2 linked regions of the Oreochromis niloticus genome follow. The protein of the gene in region 1 purifies or fractionates together with the protein of each later gene. This does not show direct contact. Links are inferred from orthologs where the notes say so. Each region holds a gene or a part of one and is shown in the gene's direction. Other genes may lie near its edges. The genes, in order: josd2 and ahcyl2b.

Evidence for each region.
Region 2: the proteins of josd2 (region 1) and ahcyl2b purify together in Homo sapiens (affinity purification with mass spectrometry; 3 studies listed by BioGRID and IntAct, counting the BioPlex papers as one, with this or other methods). This does not show direct contact. The link is inferred for Oreochromis niloticus from reciprocal best matches to the Homo sapiens genes JOSD2 and AHCYL2.

The regions. Positions count from the first base shown.
Region 1 is NC_031976.2:22,310,918-22,320,464, reverse strand, and holds the start of josd2 (josephin-2), read left to right. Parts: upstream 1-5,671; 5' UTR 5,672-5,774; intron 5,775-5,845; exon of another isoform or gene 5,846-5,860; 5' UTR 5,861-5,996; intron 5,997-6,202; 5' UTR 6,203-6,209; coding exon 6,210-6,331; intron 6,332-7,139; coding exon 7,140-7,265; intron 7,266-8,235; coding exon 8,236-8,430; intron 8,431-8,696; coding exon 8,697-8,805; 3' UTR 8,806-9,547. Other genes in the region: ube2s (ubiquitin-conjugating enzyme E2 S), read right to left, coding at 943-945. UniProt on the Homo sapiens protein: Cleaves 'Lys-63'-linked poly-ubiquitin chains, and with lesser efficiency 'Lys-48'-linked poly-ubiquitin chains (in vitro). May act as a deubiquitinating enzyme.
Region 2 is NC_031981.2:6,674,245-6,684,115, forward strand, and holds the start of ahcyl2b (adenosylhomocysteinase like 2b), read left to right. Parts: upstream 1-5,174; 5' UTR 5,175-5,263; coding exon 5,264-5,599; intron 5,600-6,801; exon of another isoform or gene 6,802-6,816; coding exon of another isoform or gene 6,817-7,008; intron 7,009-9,871. Other genes in the region: tmem209 (transmembrane protein 209), read left to right, coding at 1-127, 284-513, 618-822, 1,118-1,293, 1,410-1,481, 1,582-1,678, 1,816-1,941, 2,116-2,213 and 4 more. UniProt on the Homo sapiens protein: May regulate the electrogenic sodium/bicarbonate cotransporter SLC4A4 activity and Mg(2+)-sensitivity. On the contrary of its homolog AHCYL1, does not regulate ITPR1 sensitivity to inositol 1,4,5-trisphosphate.

The DNA.
Region 1 (9,547 bases):
TTTGTATTTCAGTCTACTCAAATATTTATTTCACACCTAGTTTTTGGCTTACTGCAAAAACCTTTGTAGGAATGTCTCAGTAGATGTAAACATTTAACAGCCACGTGTTTACTTTCCTAAACTTGGACTAACAAATAAATATGACACTGCCTCAATATGTTGGTCTGTTAGCACACCGGACACCTGTTCTTTAATATACAGCGAGTGTGAGTGAAGTAAATTTAACATTATCAAAATGTTTATTATGTAGGTATCGACTAATTACACACTAAAGCATAATTTTTTTCTATGGCTTTGATGATTTCGTTTCACACATTTTAATAATGTGTCGATCGGCCATATGGCAGATGAAAAATCTATCATCGGTACCACCTGAGACCATCTACATTTTCCTCTGCGGATCTGCTATCATTTTACACACGCTTTTCTATGTAATGCGCGCTTGCTAGTCATTATCTTCCTAATTTTAACACGTATTTACGTAATGAACATGAGCTGGAGCTCCTCTGGGGGAGCTACGGTTTCATCATCGAGCCAGCGGTCCCCGCACCACGTTAAGCATCCTCACAGAAGTCAGAGGAGTTATAACTTGATCAACTTGAAGTATGCTTTAAAGGCACAACAGTAGATAATTAATATCAGTTAAGCAATCGACGGGCAATGTTAACTTTATGTTACCGTTAGCATACCTAGCCTAGCAAATGCCTCGATTAGAGTTCGTGTTAAAGAAGCTTTTGGTTTAGTGGTAATAGTTTCTATTGTGTATGAAGGTACTTATTAATTACACGAATATACATCTGAAGACATTAAATAAACGCATTAACTTTTAACAAATAGACACAACCGCCCATAAAAATCGAAAAATAAAAAAAACTCGACAGCTAAAATCGGTTAGAGCTAGCAGTGTCTCCCATTAGCCGTTAGCTAAGAGGTTGATCTTACCATCTTCAAAAAGGAGCTCTGCTTGGGTGGTGGGTGTCTGGCTGGTGTCAGATATAAAGAACCGTTTCTAATAGAGTCTAGAGGAGTGAAAAACTATATTCGATGAAAACTTAGCCGGCTGGCTGATGATCGCCGTTCTTCTTTTCTTCTCTACGTTGACACAGGAACAAAAATACGATCCTCAGTTGAACCTTAAAGCACGTACCAATGAGCGGCATAGTGGTGTGAAACGTCAGAAGAGACAAACCAATCGAAATGCAGCGATAGAGCTGCGTCACGACAAAAAGCCCTATCAGTCACATAGAGTGAAAAGTACATCTGATACACGCCAGCGATAGGTCCATTTAAAAAACTCTCAAATCTAATCGATACTGAAAGATCAGCATCAGCTACATTGAACACCAAAATTAAGAAACGCCCACTGTTTAAACCAGCCTTCCTAATTTATTCAATAGATAAATACTTAACTTGATAAGCGGGATCACTTTTGTTACGTTGTATGATAGGTTTCCTTTAATGTTGGTTAATTAAGTTAACTCTAATCTAACAATAACTGACTAAAATTACACACACAGTTTTTTTCGTATTCGTGTACGACAGAAACGTGCCTGAGCAATACACCACCAAAAATAACAACACAATTAACATTTATTCACCAGACACACTTTTAGGTGACCTACACCTTGTTAGTACTGCTCTGGAGCCATTTTTGCCTTCAGAACTATTTTAAGTCTTCATGACATTCAACAAGGTGCTGGAAACATTCCTCAGAAATTTTGGTTCAGATTGACATGATAGCATCACACAATAGAAGCAGATTTGCTGCACATGGCTGCACATCCATGATGTGAATGTGCCTTTCCACCACAGCCCAAAGGTGCTCTATTAGACTGAGGTAAACTGGCTGTGGAGGCCATTTGAGCACAGTGAACTAATTTTCTTGTTCAAGACTAGGGCTGGGTATTGATAAGATTTTCACGATTCCGATTCCATTTTCGATTCTGTTTAACGATTCGATTCTTTATCGATTCTCTTATCGATTCTTTTTAAAAAAGGAGAACACTAAGGTCGAATAGCTTAGAACTTTGTTTTATATCTTCTCTTTGAACAAGATAGAAATTTAGGAGTAACATGGCCTTACAAAACCAACAGTGAGATCTTAAGAGATCCACAGCCTACGGCTCTTCAATGGGGTGTCACAGGGTCCCCAGGAAAAAAAATTGTTATTGCTACAGAAGAATATTTACTTTATTATTTTACATTTACAAAGTTTAACATAAATTATTCTGTAGCAATTACACAAGAATATCCAGTAATGTCCCTGCCTACAATTAAACACATTCACTTACGGAAAATCGGGGGCATCTGCTGTGGCAAATGGGTGCAAGCCTTTGACCACAAAAGGCTGCTCGGTGACATTCGTCTATCCTGGCCTGAAAGGAGACACTACCGGTAGACTGCAGCGAGAACTGCCAGCATCTGAGCCAGCCAGACTCTGTCTCTCTCATCATGGTCGCCTAAATGCAGCGCACAGTAATGGCAGGTTTTGTAATAAGGCAGATCGCGCTAACATAATATGCACTGTTAGCTGATTATTTACCTGCCGTATTAACGGGAGAGGACGTGCAAACATTACCGCTGCTGCTGGGTTGAGATTCACGAGTCCGGAGCGGAATTAAAAACATGACATTCATTTAAGGTTATCGCGTGTTTTGTGAGCAAACGCTTTTGCATATTCGTAGTGTTTCCTCCCTTAAATTAAATATCTACTTTGCAAGTATTGCAAGTTGCCCTGTTGTCATCCGTTCTCGTAAAGTATAATCAAACTTTTGAGCGTTTGAGCCGCTTAGGCGCCCTGCCAGGTAAATGACGCTCCGCAACGTGGTGACGTCATTCAGGGCGACTGGAATCGATAAGGGAATCGTTTGCAAAAATGGCAAACAATTCCAAGGAATTGAAACAGTGGGAACCGGTTCTCAACAAGAACCGGTTTTCGATACCCATCCCTATTCAAGACACCAGTTTGAGATTATTTGAGGTTTGTGACATGGTGTGTTATCCTGTTGGAAGCAGCCATCAGAAAATATGCACACTGTGGTCATGAGGGGATGGACATAATCACAGGTAGGCTCAGTTGGTACCCAAAATTGGCCAGGAAAATGTCCTCACATTATTACAACACCAGCAGTAACCCTGACCATTGAGACAAGGCAGGATGGATTTGTACTTTCGTGTTTAATGTTTATAGCAGAAAGACTCTGGGCAACATTTTCCCGTATTTGATTGTCCAATCTTTGTGAGCCTGCATTAATTGTAGCCTCAGTTTCCTGTTCTTACCTGGCAGGAGTGGCACCCAGTATGATCTTCTGTAACGGTAGCCCTGTAGCTTTAAGAATGTTGTGCTTTCAGAAATGCTCTTCTGCATGCTTTTGTTAGAATAAGTGGTTTATTTGAGTTGCTATTGCTTTCCTATCTGCTCGAAAAAGTCTGGCTGTTGTCCTCTGACCCCTGACATTTGAGCATTTGAGAACTGTTGATCACTAGATATTTTCTCTGTTTTTGGATCTTCTGTAACCCTACAGATGGTTGTGTGGGAAAATCCCAGTAGATCAGCAGTTTCTGAAATACTCAGACCAGTCTGTCTGACACCACCAATGCATGTTCAATGCCATGTTCAAAGTCACTTAAATCACCCTTCTTCCGCATACTGATGCTCGATCAGACAGGTCATCATGACCAAATCTTGACCTTTTTGCCAAAATTGTCCCACTGTCTATAATCAAGTTTAAAGAGGTGATTCAGTGACTCCAAAACACTGCCATATTTTATGAGATAGATAGATAGATAGTTGTATATAGCATTTGTATTCTATTTTTATCTTATTGTATATTTTATTCTATTTTATTCTACTGTATATAGTATTTTATTTTATTCTATTCTGTACAGTTGTGTACTGTATTTATTCTTATTTTATTTTATTCTAATTTTTGCTTCATAACTTTTGCACTGTCCACTTCCTGCTGTGACAAAACAAATTTCCCACGTGTGGGACTAATAAAGGTTATCTTATCTTATCTTATAGATAGATAGATAGATAGATAGATAGATAGATAGATAGATAGATAGATAGATAGATAGATAGATAGATAGATAGATAGATAGATAGATAGATAGATAGATAGATTTAAATATTTAAGCATAACAAGTCACCTTTACAGTAGTAGGAGTTTATGTAAATAAGTGTAGGAGTCATTTGGGTTGATACCTTATGTATGCCGCTAAAGGTCACTTTTTGAGTTTTTTGTTGTGGAAATAAAGAATCTAAAGGACAAGATGAGTAAGGCTGGAGTTATTGGACTGTATCAAGTTAAATATATTCATGCATACCAGTGACATCCCTGTCATTGAGTACCTCAGTGGCTTCAAGCGTAGGCTTAGCCTCTACAGTAAGACTAAGCTTAGGATTTTGTCACCCTAACAGTTACAGTAATTAACAAATCTATTAGATTACTTGCCATAAAGTCTGTAAAAATATTTCAAAAATCTGTTTAAAACTAAAAATGATTTTGTTATTCTATTAGACACATTAAACAAAATTGATTTTCCTAAACTGGACTTCCATCCAACCATTAAAATTTTTCCTGCACAACTGCAAATAAATACATTTATCTCAATAAAAAATAGACAGATTTAACATTTTTTCTGCAAAAATGTAAATTTGAAAATTTACAGTTTTCACTTTATGGATTTGCTTGCTTCCATTTTAAATTGTTTTAAGTTCTAACTTTCTTTTATAATAGGGAAAATTTTTATTAAGAGCTAATAATAATTTGCTAATAATTTCAGAATACATACATTTTTCGACTCCTTCCTTTAGGGGTCGCCACATCAGATCATCTGCCTCCATTTCACCCTGCCCCTAACATCCTCCTGTGACACACCAACCCTTTGCATGTCCTCCTTCCCTACATCCATGAATCTTCGTGGTGGACTTCCTTTTTTCCTCCTGCCTGGCAGCTGCACATTCAATATCCTTTGTCCAATACATCCACCATCCTTCCACAGCACATCCCCGAACCATTTGAGCCTTCCCTCTCCAGCTCAGCCTCCTGTCTCTTTGTCAGTAGCACCGTCTCCAAACCAGACATGACAGCAGGTGTCACAACTATCTTGTAAGCCTTTTTTTTTTTACTCTTGCTGCTATCCTTCTGTCACAAATCACCCCCCACACTCATCTCCACCACTGTCTGTTCTTAACCTCTCTTATGCACTGTTTGTTGTCTTGGATGTGACCCCAGGTATTTAAACTCATCCAACGTTGCAACCTCTGCTCCTTGAAACTTTACCTTTTCACCTCTCTAGTCTAGTTTAGTCATACTTCTACTGACTTTCTTCAGCTCTTCAACCTACTCCTGGTTCTTACTACAAATCACAATGTCGTCTGCAAACATCATTGTCCACTATTTCAGAATAGAATAAGGCAGTCATGTAGAAATCTCAAGTCTCACCATACAATGCATCAAAGCCTTAGTCAGGCAGGCTTTGAAAACAACATTTCCTACATATTTTCATGTATTTATTTATTTCGTTTATTTCAGTTTGGTGGTTGTACAACTTAATTTCATTTAGTTATCTTTTTCCTAGAATATAGTTGTTGTTGTTTTTTCGAGTCCGGATATGTACTTTTAGTTTTTAGTTGAGGCTTAGCTCACTTCATTAACTTCAGTCAGTATCACCGCAGTCAGCAGTAACCAGGCTCGTCACTAGGGGGCGCTTCAACATCAGCTCAGTGATTAGACGCGGGGAAGAAGTGTGTGTGTGTGACACCATTGGTGAGTTGAAGATGAGTTAATCCTGTCATTATTATTACTTTCCTCTATTCAGCATAATTAAACTGTTAAAGTGGCGGGGTTTCCAGCCCTGCTGTGAAGGACGCATACGGACGACAAAAAAAACCCCCAACACCATCTCAACAACAAAGGCTCAGCTTCCGGTTTCTGGATGTAGCTGTCAGGCTCCACCACCATTTAAACGGGGCATCGCTTTATCAGCAGGTCGGTAGCTTCGTTTAGCTATTGTTGATTAATAATAGTTTATCAGGATGTTTTTCCAAACTGCCAGCAGTCATAAACACAGAGTATACTCAGTTTTTTCAGCTTCTTTTACAGCGAGCAGCCGCTAGCCTGAATGGGCTACAAACTGCTAGCTAGCAGATGTAATATGACCGTTAATTAACGAGACTTCTCGTTTGTCTGTGAAGCTTTAGTATGAGCGAAGGAGAGGTGTTTCATGAGAAGCAACGATTGGAGCTGTGCGCAATTCACGCACTCAACAACGTGCTCCAGGAGCGGGTGTTTACCAAAGAGACAGCCGACGATATCTGCAAAAGGTAGGGCAGCCTCTGGGTGACGTGACGGTGTACGGAAATCTGTACACAAACCAGCGAGAGCATTCAAACGATCCATCTGCTAAACTTGCCAATGATCTGACCAGTTTATAACCCCAACATTCCAGACAATACTTCATAATTTGTTTACACTGTGAATACACTGCTATTTTTCTGCAATGCAGCAGCTGCTTTTATCTTCTAAGGCGTGTGTGAGATGCTGAACATGACTGGTTTTCATGTTGAGCTTCAGTTATGGCAGTGCCGAGCAAGGCTTTTACTGGGAACTCCAAGACTCAAGCAGAAATTACTGAATTCCCTCATTCAGCCATCATGTCTTCCATCTAAAAGTGAAAAATGCCAAACATTTATTCTTACCAAAAGCTTTAATGTGATCAGGAGTGTGTGGGTGTTGTTTTTTTTTGCACTCACTGTTAGGAAAATTTAACATTAAGTTTTTGTGGGGAAAGAGCAGTGGTGCTGTCCGTGTAGCAGAAACCATTGTTTTTCAGCGAGGCTGCGCTGTACGTCAGCAGCCATTAGCTTAATTGAACATGAGGCCAGATGAGTCATGATCTCTGTGGCTTTTGACAAACAACATTTATTTGAATGCAGAGCAGCTCAACCCCAACCCCACAAAAACACAGCTTTTTCATATCGCTGTGGTTGTTTGGGGACAACAGTTATGCATTGTGATGATATTTATATGCAAGAAAGTAAAAAAAAATCTAAACAGTTTTGTAAAGAAGATGCAGTATAACATTTGTTTTTTTTAAAACTGTATTTCTCTGCCTTTTTTCTCTCGTGGCAGGCTGGCTCCACAGTGTGTCGTGAACCCACATCGGTCAGTGTTAGGGACGGGAAACTATGATGTCAACGTCATCATGGCGGCACTACAGAGCCGGGAGTTGGCTGCGGTGTGGTGGGACAAACGCAGGTAAGTGAGTCACACTGAAGTCTGTGAAATGAGAAAGTAATTTTGTGGAGCGGTCCCGCCTCTGCGCTCGTAATGTCGGTGTTAAATTTAAAATTTACTTTTTCATTTACACTGTGTCTCCGGGCTGTTTGTTCTACCTTAGCTTTTTTTAAGCCATACCTATACAGCTGGTTGTTAATAAAAATATCCAATTAGACAATTACATGGAAGCAACTCAGTTCGTTTAGGAATTTAGGCACCAAAACACAGTCAGGATGACCTGCTAAAGTTTAAACTGAGCATCAGAATGGGGAAGAAAGATGATTTAAAGTGATTTTAAACGTGGCATGGTTGTTGGTGCCAGATGGACCGGTCTGTTTATTTCAGAAACTGCTGATCTTCTGGGATTTTCCCAAGAAAACACCTCCAGGGCAGAACACCATTTCTAAATGTGCAACATATCAAACCTTGAAGCAGATGGGATACAGTATCAGAACACTAGACCGGGGCCCACTCAGGGAACCGAGATTACAACCAACCAACCCAGTGTTAGCAAGGTGTACCTAATAAAGTGGCTGGGACTGTATACTGCAAGGGGATCCAGAATATTGAGATCAGCTCTTAGTGCCAGGCTGTTGTAATAAAAGGAAAAGGGAATCCTTTAGACTATTTTTAGACACAGATGGGTTTTTTTCCCCTTAAAACAACGTATCTTAATTTTAAACCACTTGCGATGTAACCCTAAGGCGTTGTTGGATTACACATAAAAAGCATATTGGCAGTCTTACCAAACCACAGCTACATGTGAAAATGAACTTTGTGCTTTGATAGATTTACGGACTCAGTAAGTGCTTCAGAAGTAGGCTAGCCGGGTCGAGGTCATTCATAATGAAAAATGCCCTGAGAGGCACTGAGTGTAATAACTGGTTAAGTAAGACTATCTCAAAGTGGGTGATTTAGTGCTTTCTTTCTCCCCTCTTTCAAACTGCAGGGAAGTTGAGAACCTCTGTATGTCAAAGGTCCAAGGCTTTATTCTGAATGTCCCATCACGAGTATCTTTGGGGATTGTATCCCTCCCGCTCCGACGGCGGCATTGGCTCGCAGTTCGGCAAGTTAGCGGACAGTACTACAACCTGGACTCTAAGCTGAAGAGTCCGGTCTGCATCGGCGGAGAAGCAGAGCTACGGTAAGAATTGTGCACGTATACGTCCAGTGTTTCCCAGAGTCTCAGGAGCAGAGGTGTAATCTCTGTGTGAGTGATTCTGCTCTGACTTCGATCTAAACTTGGCTTTTGTGTGCTGTTTGAACTCACTGAGTGAGTCATACCATATGACTGGTCACATGGGAGTGGGGGTTACCTCATTGTTTGTTTTGTGTTAGGACACTGTGCTCTATTAACATCCCCACTGTCTTGTGTTCTAATAAACTTCTCTCTCTTCGCTTCTGTTTCAGCACATTTCTCACTGAACAGCTTTCTCAGGACGTGGCAGAGATGCTGCTCGTTGTCCGACGGGAGGTGGAGGAGGACGGCTCGTGGCTGAACGCTGACAGCAAGAAGTGATGCCTTGGGACAGAACATAACTTTGCAAAGCGTGGGGGAAAAAACCCTCCTCTGGGGAAATGACAGACATTTTGAAAGAGAGAAACAAACACCTTGTTCAAAAAATATCTTCAGGGAATGCACTAAAATACATTTAATATCTACACAAACACACAAATTCCAAAGAGAAGTAGAGGTGGGCGTTTAATCCTGAAATGAAGAACTGCTTGATTGTAACGGCTTAAAAAAGAAAACCATTGCTCTGGTATGACCCATCTATCTGCAACGTCAACTGTACTCTTGTACTTTTTGTTTTAACTCTTTGAGTTGAAAAGTTGCAGGTTAGAGGCAAATGTGGGCTAGTTTATGGCACTTTTGTTGTGACCTGATTCTGAAATGTTACTGTGTTTTTTGGTAACTGGATAAATTTGATTACTTAAAATGCTATTAGGATGAATTCGCCACTTAGGATACTGTTGTCTTATATCCAGTTTGTTATGTGCTACGTGTGCTATGGTTATGCCAGAATGTGTTGATTGTGAAGGAGCGCCATCTCTTCCTTCACTTTTGTTATTAACCTTCTATGCACTGCAACGTTTGAGTTGTTTGCACTGTTTGTCTTTGTTAGCACTCATGCAGGCACAGGAGCCTTGAATGCATTGCCTTAAAGAGGCACCGGAAGACTGCACCAGTGTCTTTGCATGTGTTCATCCATTTACTTGACTTCTTGCGTTCTTTTTAGTCTAGTTACACAGTTGTGGTC
Region 2 (9,871 bases), on another chromosome or scaffold:
GTGCTTGCCTCCCTTTTTAGCCTCAATGCTCTTTATGACTTCTGGAAGTATTTCAAATACACAATGGCTCCATCCACCATTGCTGTAAGCCCTGAGCAGCATCACCTTCTGGGTCTGAGAAACACAAGTGAGGCGCAAATTTATGGTTTATATTTTTCCACAGCTTGTGTCCAATTCTTGCTATGTTCAAGACCCTTTGTGGCAAATAAAGTAGCAGAAAGGAAGCCCCCCCCAATCTTTAGATCAACATATGAGCCAGAGTTGGGGTTTTTTTGTTTTGCAGGTATTCAGGCATCTCCACCCCAAAAGCCAGAAAAGAAGGAAGCTCCGGCTCCAGCCCAGTCATCTCCTCTGCAGGGCCAGAGCGTGCTCAGCTTTAGTCCCTCTCGTACAGCCTCCAGCAGCCCCAAGTTCTCCCCCAGCTGTGTTCCTGGATATAGCCCCACACTCAGCAACCCATCCCCAACAAACAGTGCAGGAGGCCCCTTTTCCCCTTCTGTGTCCTTTGGAAAGGTACTTTTAACCAGGAGTGACATGAGTACATGAGAAAAAAAGAAAACTGAATATGACTGACTATAACTCCATTTCCTTTCCATTAACGATTTTCCTTGTTTCAGGTGCTGAACTACAGTCCACCCTCTGGCTCCACTCCTTATCCCACTACAATTGGGTCAGCAGAAGGCTCCAGCTTGAGGGCTCGCTACCGCACACCTCCCTCCGTGTTTAACTCCCCTGGAAGCAAGGAGGACTACATGGAGGATCTGAAAAGTCTGGAGAGGTTCCTGCGAACAGAGGAGGAAAGGAGTCACCGGAGCCAGCTTGGTAGGTAGCTAAACTGAATTGGAGATAAAAGTAGAGTAGATCACAGAGGGAATTGTAGGTTTCATTCACACTTTTTAAAGCGTGAATGAATGAATACAATTAGGCAGTTGGGTTTATGCTCACAAGCAAGTTTTGAACTACAGCCTTGAAGCATAGCCCCTCTCTTGGACATTGTACAGATCCAAGAGTGGAAAATCCTCATTATTTGAAACTTTGGCTATGGTTAGCATAAGCATCGCCCATTCTAACATAGTAGGTCACTTCTGATGTCATGATGGCGTCATTCCCTGTGTAGGAAGTCCAGAGTCTGTGTCTCCAAGCCACAGTCCTACGTTTTGGAACTACAACCGTTCGGTGGGAGATTATGCACAGAGCCTCAGGAAGTTCCTCTACCAGCCTGCATGCCGCTCTCAGGCGCCTTCTGCCCACAAGGACGAGACGGACCTGGGCTCCAAACAGGCTGCAGAGGAGGTCTGTGTGTCGGTATTTGTGCTGCTATCGGTTGAAAGATTAGCCGTTTTGTTTTTTCCTTTAAACTATAGTTGTCTCTTTTGGAAATGTTTTTCTATCTCCTTTCTGATACGTAGGTGTGGGCGAGAATCACAACCAGTCGCCCAGTGTTGGATCGCATTGATGGCTGGACAGCCAAGCTTAGAAATGTGAGTAGGGCTTCACTTGATTATCTATATATCTAATGAATTCCAGGTGTCCATAAATATTTGATATGAATTAAAAAATTTTTTTTATTTGTGTCTGCAGTGGATCAGTGATACTATCTTGGTCCCCTTGGTCAAAGAAATAGATTCGGTTAATAGCCTGCTCAGGAGAATGGGCTGCCCAGAGCTCCAGATAGGAGGTAAACTTCTAAAATCTGCTATTGACTGATGAGTAGTAAGGAGATGCCTCAAAACATTTCCAAATCAATTGAAATGGACACTCTGTAGGCACTGTTATGCCAGCTACTTTACTTTTTCATTTTTTTTTCTCCACCAGAGGCCAGCATAAGCAGTCTGAAACAGGCAGCAGTGACCAAAGCCTCTTCCATCCCTACTTTGAACTCTATTGTCCAATACTTGGATATCACACCCAACCAGGAGTATCTAGTGGACCGGATAAAGGGTGCGTTTAATATTAAAGCATATAGGCATTAATTTATTTTTTTTTAAAAGTCCTGTATACCTGCATCAAACTAAATAAATTGTGTTATGTTCAGCCATGAAAAATGAACACTGTGGACCTGTGATTGGACTTCACTGCATATGTGCTGTGTGTTTTATTTCTTCTTTGTGTCAGAGCTGGCTCACAGCGGTTGTATGAGCTCCTTTCGCTGGAACGGTGGTGGTGACCTGAAGAACAGGAAATGGGATACAGACCTTCCTACTGACTGTGCTGTGAGTGTACATAACCACACCCAGCGATATCCACACAGACATAATGAGCAGCAATTAGTCTTAAAATGCAGTTTATTGCAAACCCAACAAGAGCATCACGCAGATCAGGATAGCAGGACCAACAGAGATCTCCATATCTTGAGTATAAAATACTAGCTCTTGTATGTATGTATGTATGTATGTATTTATTTATTTATTTATTTATGTGCATTTAATAAATGTCACATGTGAGTATACTCAAAATGTGTTTAAATTGCACCAGTGTTGAGTTCTCATCATATAAATGACTTTTTTTTTTTTTTAATGCTTCTAAAGGACAAGGACGGGGTGTGAATGAGCTAAAAAGTAAATGTCAGTAGCAAAGGGTGGAATAATTACCGTAATTGTTCTACTCGTCAGATCAAAGCAACCTTGGTCTTTTACTGCACACGCTGTGGCTCAGTTGTGTCACAATAACCACGTGTCTGTCTTCTCAGATCCTCATGCATGTGTTTTGTACATACCTGGACTCCAGGCTGCCTCCGCACCCAAAGTACCCCGATGGGAAGACTTTCACTTCTCAACATTTTAGCCACACCCCAGACAAACCTGGTGAGCGCACCATTAGATAAGATTTAAAGAATAGTACTTAAAGACTTAAGATGGCCACTGTTTGATCCTCCTTGAAATCCAGCATTGCTTTTTTTTTCTTTTGTGTAACCTTTTTGTATTAACTCATAGATGTTACCAAGGAGAACCTCTTCTGCATTCATCAAAGCAGCACCACTCCTCCTCACTACCAGCTCATCTACCAAGGACATGTCTACAGTCTTCCCAAGGTTCTCACTCCTTTTTATTTTCTTCTCTTTTTTTTAGGAATGCACCAGTTGTAAAATTGTTGGCCATTTGTTAATTTAAACACTGCCTACAATGTAGCCAATAATTTTTCAGTTGTTACATATTCCTCTGTTTTCCCAGGGAAACATTACAATCTCTTTCATGGAGGATAACTTAAAATACTAACCCCATTATCACAAATGCTGGGATGCTTAATAAAATTATTTGCAAATCAAAAACCCATGTTTTATTCATAAAAGAATAATTCTTGTTACTTACATTAAATCCATGGGCCTTCCTCGTCCTAGAGAAAGAGCCAGCATGTAACAGGCGTATCGTTCAGTAACAGTTGAGGTTTTCTTGCTTGTTTGTAACACTTTATTGTGCTGATGTGAACCTATGTTGATTTCGGTTACAGGGGAGGAACAACCTGTTCCACACAATCCTCATGTTCCTCTATGTTATTAAGACCAAGGAGTCAGGGATGCTGGGGTGAGTTTTTCTCTTTTTTCAAAACTAGTTGGATTTTAATCTCCAACATGAATAGAGCCATTAGAAAGAATCATGAAATATTGATTCATTTTCCCGATAGAAGTGATGCACTAAAGTGCAGATTTAATATTGACTTTTATTTTTATTTATTTTTTATAGTGACTACTTTGACCTTGTCTTGTGCACTGTGGTTAAATTGTTCTCATATTCTCCTCAGGAGAGTGAATCTGGGCCTCTCAGGTGTGAACATCCTGTGGATATTTGAGGACTGAGGCGTCATCCTCAAATATTAAGTGACAAGGAGCTCCAAGTGGATTTGAGGACACGTGTGTCCCCTTTCTGGTGCACATGAGCAAAAAAGCCCCAAAAAACACACAGCACACAAGACTTCAGTTAGAGTAGATGCATGTTCTCTGAACATTTTCATGATTGACAGCCTGCTGTGTTTTCGTTTGCATTTTTAGGGACATGTTTCTTTTTCACCAGAGTGCTTATGATACAACAAAGAGCTGTATTTTTTAACAGTGTTTGGGGTTTCTGATTTTGTACTTTAAGAATGTACCCGCATGGCAGCCTTGTAAATAATATACCTCAGATTTATCTGGTGGACAGCAAGGGCTCAGACCCATCAGCTTGAATGTAAATAGCAACCTTTTGTCGCTCCCCCCCCCCCCGTCCTGTTGTAGTTTAGAATGCAATAATCAGATTATTCCTGGCATGCGCTTGAATTACTGGGGAGGAGAAAAAAAGACCAGTGGATAGTGCAGCTATGCTGAAAGCAGTTGTACATATATATGTACAGCTACTGAAATGCTGCACATATATGTACAACAGTCAAACTATATGTGATAGAGAGATGAAAAGCCTTCAAGTCACCAACGTCTGTTTCTGTGAATATTTTTTTTTCCTTAGATTTTATACCACCTTCTACATGTTTGTTTGTTTCCGATAACGCTGTTTTACAAGTGTCACATGAGACTTGGAAATTAAATTGAAATATTAATAATAAAAAACCACTTGTTTCCTCATTTCCTTGAACTGTACGCAATATGCTTGGGATTTAAAAAAAAAATATATCTTAGGCATCCACTTGGTGGCAGTGCAGCTCCTTATTTGTGATTTGACCTTCCTCTTGTACCCGTCTTATGTATGTACCACCGCATGATGTGATGCAGTATATTGACTAGAGTGTTGATGAGCACTCCGCTACACACAGAGTGTAATAGCACAGCCTGCTCCTGCTTACTTTGACATAAGTGGATTTACTACGTTGTAAATATTATTTTTTTTCAGAAAGAAAATTGATTATTTTCCACAAAAAAGATCTAAGTGTGCATTTTATGAGATTTCTTTTGAAACCGCATTATCTGCAAAGCTCACGTTTGTTATGTAGTTTATTGTCGTCCTCTTTTATAAAAAAAAACTGCATTTCCCAGAGTGTATTTAACAACCCGGCTATCTCTATTGGGAAATGTAGTCTCAATTTCTATTAGGACTCTCTTTTTAGCTATTTTAAATGTATTATAATAACAGGTAACGATACTGTTCTTTTGCTGCATGTATTGACGTCCAATAAAAAGTCATTCATGTACGAATAACTGGTGTGAGAGGTGTCCTGTGGGGCATTGAGCTACTTAGTGGAACTACAAGAGCCATAATGCATTTGGCCTTCGTGGCTCCTCCGCTCACATCCGCTTGACTCGCTATCCGTGCTGGAAAAAGGACTTTGAGAAACTGCAGCGATGTCAGTCCAGGTTGTGGCAGCGAAAATGGCAGAGGTCGAACTCAAAGACGTCCCCACCGGCAAAGACCTGCCGGCTGAATCCCCGGTGACACCCACGTCGGAGGGCAAGAACCTCCCCAGAAACGACCCGCACGAGGCCGGTTCCGCGGCTGCCGCGTCCCCTACCGCGGAGCCTTCCGCGAAAGCCGGGGAAGGAGGCACGGGCTTGCTCACCCCAAACCCGGCGAAGATGCCTCAAGCGTCGTCTATGAAACGTTCGGACCCGCAGCAGAACGGCGGGGAGGCGTTTGTCAACCGGGACGGAACCGTTGCCGAGGCTCCTCGCATGAAAAAGGTAAGCCAGGCGGCATTTTTCTCCCCTCCACATAAGTGCTTTTGCATATGCTCGCTGTTGCTGGACCACCACTAAGGACCTCGCCGCAGAGCGAGCTTGCTGGGAAAGCTGGCATTGTGTGACGATGCTAACAGGCTAGCTGGCACCAAAGCTGAATCGGCGGTGGCCGTTAACGGTTTAAATTATGCTTTTCACTGCTTATAACACAAGGGAAGGAATGTTATTCTTTTTCTCATACCCGTTTTCACGAAGGCTGACATTTAAGTGAAATATTTAGGACTCCGGAGGTGGGCGACAGTATCCAACTGTTCTCACAAGTTGTGCTGATATTGGGTATTTAAAAGCTCTCTCATAGCATGAGGTCCCACATGCTTTTGTAGGTTTGTGTATATCTGTGTCACATTATCTTAAACATCAACGTGACAAACGCAAAACACAGACCATACTAAGTGCAGTTATTCGCTTAAATCAGTTGCTTCCATTTTTCGGATATAGTGTTTTCAGTCAGAGTTTAATTGTGGCACACACCTTTCTTGTTTTTGAAGAAGCTCTGATTTTTGACACTTGGGTTGTCCCTCTGTGGCACTTCATGACCCTTGCTTGACCTCAGATTATTATGTTAAAACTATTCACAGTTCACTGCCTGTAAAACAGACATGCCGTTTTAGTTTAGTCAAATTTATGCAGTTCTGCAGTTAATGCAGATGTGTGGTCTAACTAGGCTGTAACAGTAGTCAGCGATGTGTGACCCCTGTGACCTGGTTTAAAAAAAACAAACAAACCTCTTTGAGTCTGTAACACCTAAAATTGATACCGTAGTGGGATTTAGGCACGGTTTAGCTGTGGTTGTCTTATCGCTCTGCTCCTTACAAGGTCTTTTTTAGGACAGAAGAAGGGCAACGTTCAAGGAAAGGACATTTTTTATTTGATAAGAAAATGATTGCAGGAGCTTTATTAACAGTTGCATATCCTGTTATCTCTGTAGTGCACTTTATCAGTAGTGGTCAGCTGTTGCACTAATACACATGCCACTTTAGTGTGTTTTGGCTTCAGAAAGCCTCGAAATTGGGTGAAACCCGGTGAAAGGACAAGTCGGGTGGGATGCACTCCCCACCCACACCATATACTACGTCAGTGATCCTATCCCATTAAACCAAACCCCAAGGAAACCCAGCTTAAAGACCTTTTAGCCAAATGTTTGGTAGTACAGGGAGAGAATGGAGTGCACACCAACAGCAGCACAGAGCAGATGGCTTCAAGTACCTCAGACTGTCAAAGCGAGCCGGCATGTAGAAGAGAATGAGCAGTCGGAAACACCGGGCTTGCAGGGGGAAGCGCAGCCAGAGCTATGGGAAAGCAACAGCCACATCTGTGCTACTGGGGAGGCCAAGTTTGAATGCAGGTGCAAGGTACAGACTGTTGATTAAGGGGAAAAGTAGTTGTGAAAATTTACTTAAAATAGTGCTTTTTTACTTTGAAAGTAAACATTGTAGTCACACTTGTTAACTCTTTATCAATATTTCCTTCAAATATCAGTGCAGTCACTCTATTAAACATCTGATCATTATATGTTGATCTTTATATCCTATTGTTATGGCTTAGTTTGTGTGATTAAAATGTATGTCTGTCTTTGAATTTTCATTGCAAGTGTGTTGTCTTGTTTCAAGTTCATGGGATGCAGAGAGTCCAGAAAGCTTGAGTTGAGGATGAACGCCACTCTGAACACTTTTAGGGCTGAAGTCTGCCTGTTATGTAAATTTAAGCAGTGTGTTGGAACTGTATTTGTCTGATCAACTGTTTTTCAGTATTTGTGTTTATTCACAGAAGGTTGCCTGCAGCCTATTTATAGATGATGAAGTATAGCAGGAATAATGGTACTGCATTATAGATTTATATGACCACAGACTGGCCTCGAGCATCTGCTGAACTGTGCTTCCCCAGTTGCAGTAAAGGCTAAGTGAAGCACTGGGGACGATGATGCAAGTACGCAGCCAGGCAGGGCAGCGGTGTTGACTGACTGACTGGATGGCTGGCTGGCTTTTAATCCTTGCCTCTATCATGTCACCACATGAGGGGATTAAAAGGCCAGCTCGCTGTTGTAGGTGAGCCCAGATGTAAGCTTTCTGAGTCAGTGATGAGTGTGATTGTAACCCGTCCAGCTCGGCTTGAATATCTCCAGCCTCTGGGAAGTTCTGGGTGAAGGCTCCAGCTGCGGAGTACTTCAAGAAGCGGGCCTAGCTGCTATCGCGTTTGCTGTGCGAGACTCATACGGCAGGCAGACATTTTTCTAGCTGCGTACTTGGTCAGTAGTGTCACCTGCCTGATTTGGCAGGGATTGCACTTCCTAACAGGTTTATGGGAAGCATGCATAGTGATGTTATTAAATGACTTCACAGAACAGCAGGATCATTCCTCTCTGTTGTAATGTTATGTCACCTACTAAGCTGATGTTCCTGGTAGTGCTCACTGGTAACAAGCTTAGTGACCTGTGGCTGCTCTGCTCAGGACGAAAACAATTTTGAAGGTGGGGTTGTGTTTCACAAAGTCAAAAATCAGCCTAAGTTGTTGTTGCCACGTGTCGATGGTGCTACAAGTTTCCACTCTAATGCCACTCATCATTAACTGTAACTATATTTACACCAGCTTGCTCTGTAAAAGGCACAATTGTTTTGATCAGTTTCATACAGGTGTCAATATGGTGAGATGAAGCAGGGAGCTAGTACTATGTGCTGAAGCCGGCTGAGCTAAAGATTGTGCAGCCTGTTTGTTCATTAGTTCCTTCCATGCTCTTGTGATTGTTCCAAGTCATCTCGTGAAGGATATGAGGTGGCTGCTCTGTGGTTTCTCAGCGTGGTCATCCTCATGCAAGCACATTGATCTTCATCTCCCCGTGGCTGTTCTCAGCTACAAAGGAGAATGTGTCACTGTCCTTCCCCTGCGCCCCTCTCATTGGTGAGTCACCTCGGCAACTGAGCTGGTCTGTGTGTGGGGGAGTGCCTGCATTGTGGTGATCACATGCACTTCCTAAGGGATTGAAGTTGAATTATTATGTCCTAACCCTACTTGTGTATTCTTCAAATAGATTATAGGAATAAATATATTTATTCAAGTCCCCTCTTCAGATAAACTTGTAGACCCTGACAGATTTAGTTATTTAACTATCCAATATCGGACAATTTGTTTGTTTGTTTTTTTTAAACATACAAAAACAAACAGATTTCCCTAACATTTTGTTGTGCGTGTTATTTATGAGTCATTATTAAGTTAACATAACAATGCAGTTTTATTGTCATGAGTCATGGATTACAATATGCTCTGTTGACTCTGCTGGTTGTGTTTGTGGCGCACTACACACACACACACACACACACACACACACACACACACACACACACACACACACACACACACACACACATACATCTTTCTCACATCTACTTTATTACTTTAATTTTAATATTTTGACTGTTATAAATACCAGTACCAATCTATCGGTAAGGAGCTAATATCAGCCAATACATGGGCCCCACTGATATACTGGCTAGACTGTATTGAGCTCATTGCCAACTCTATTCTTTTTGGACTCTAGTAGAATGAGTCGAAGTTCAAAATAATCCTTATTTATCTTATACTGGGCCATGGTGCAGCCCATTAGTTTGCCAACTTTCTTCTGATTGGCTGTCCCTCCAAAACAGAAGGTTTGAAGGTAGGGCTGATGTGCTCACAGCTATCTCTCTGACTTCATACTGAGCCGGTTGTTGAAACACAATCTGACCCTTAATGTTTAGAGCAGTCTGAAGCCTGTGGTCACTTGAACACACCTTGACCTCATTATCTGAAAGTTTGCGCATGTTTAATATGAGCATCTTGAAAGGTGCTGTATAAATACAGTTTTACTTTTTGCTGGCGACTACTTAAAAGAAAACTGTTATGGTTCCACTTTGACATAAACTATTGAGTCTCGAATTTAATACAAATTAATTACTATAATCATCTTTTTGTTGGCTAGCACGTCTCTACTACAGACACAGCACAAAGAACTGTATTTCTACTGTCATTTTTACATCTGTCTAACAACGTGACAGCTTCACAAGTGCCCTTAAATGCTGATTTGGAAACTCGATGACAGGACTAAAAAGCTCACAGGAGTTGTGAGGTCCCAGCAAGCTTTAACGCATTGTCAGAGGTCACCGGAGAAGCATTAAGAATGATGGACAGCCCATGGCCAGACCTTGAACCTCATGGTAGTTTCAAGGCCTGCCTTAGTGGGAA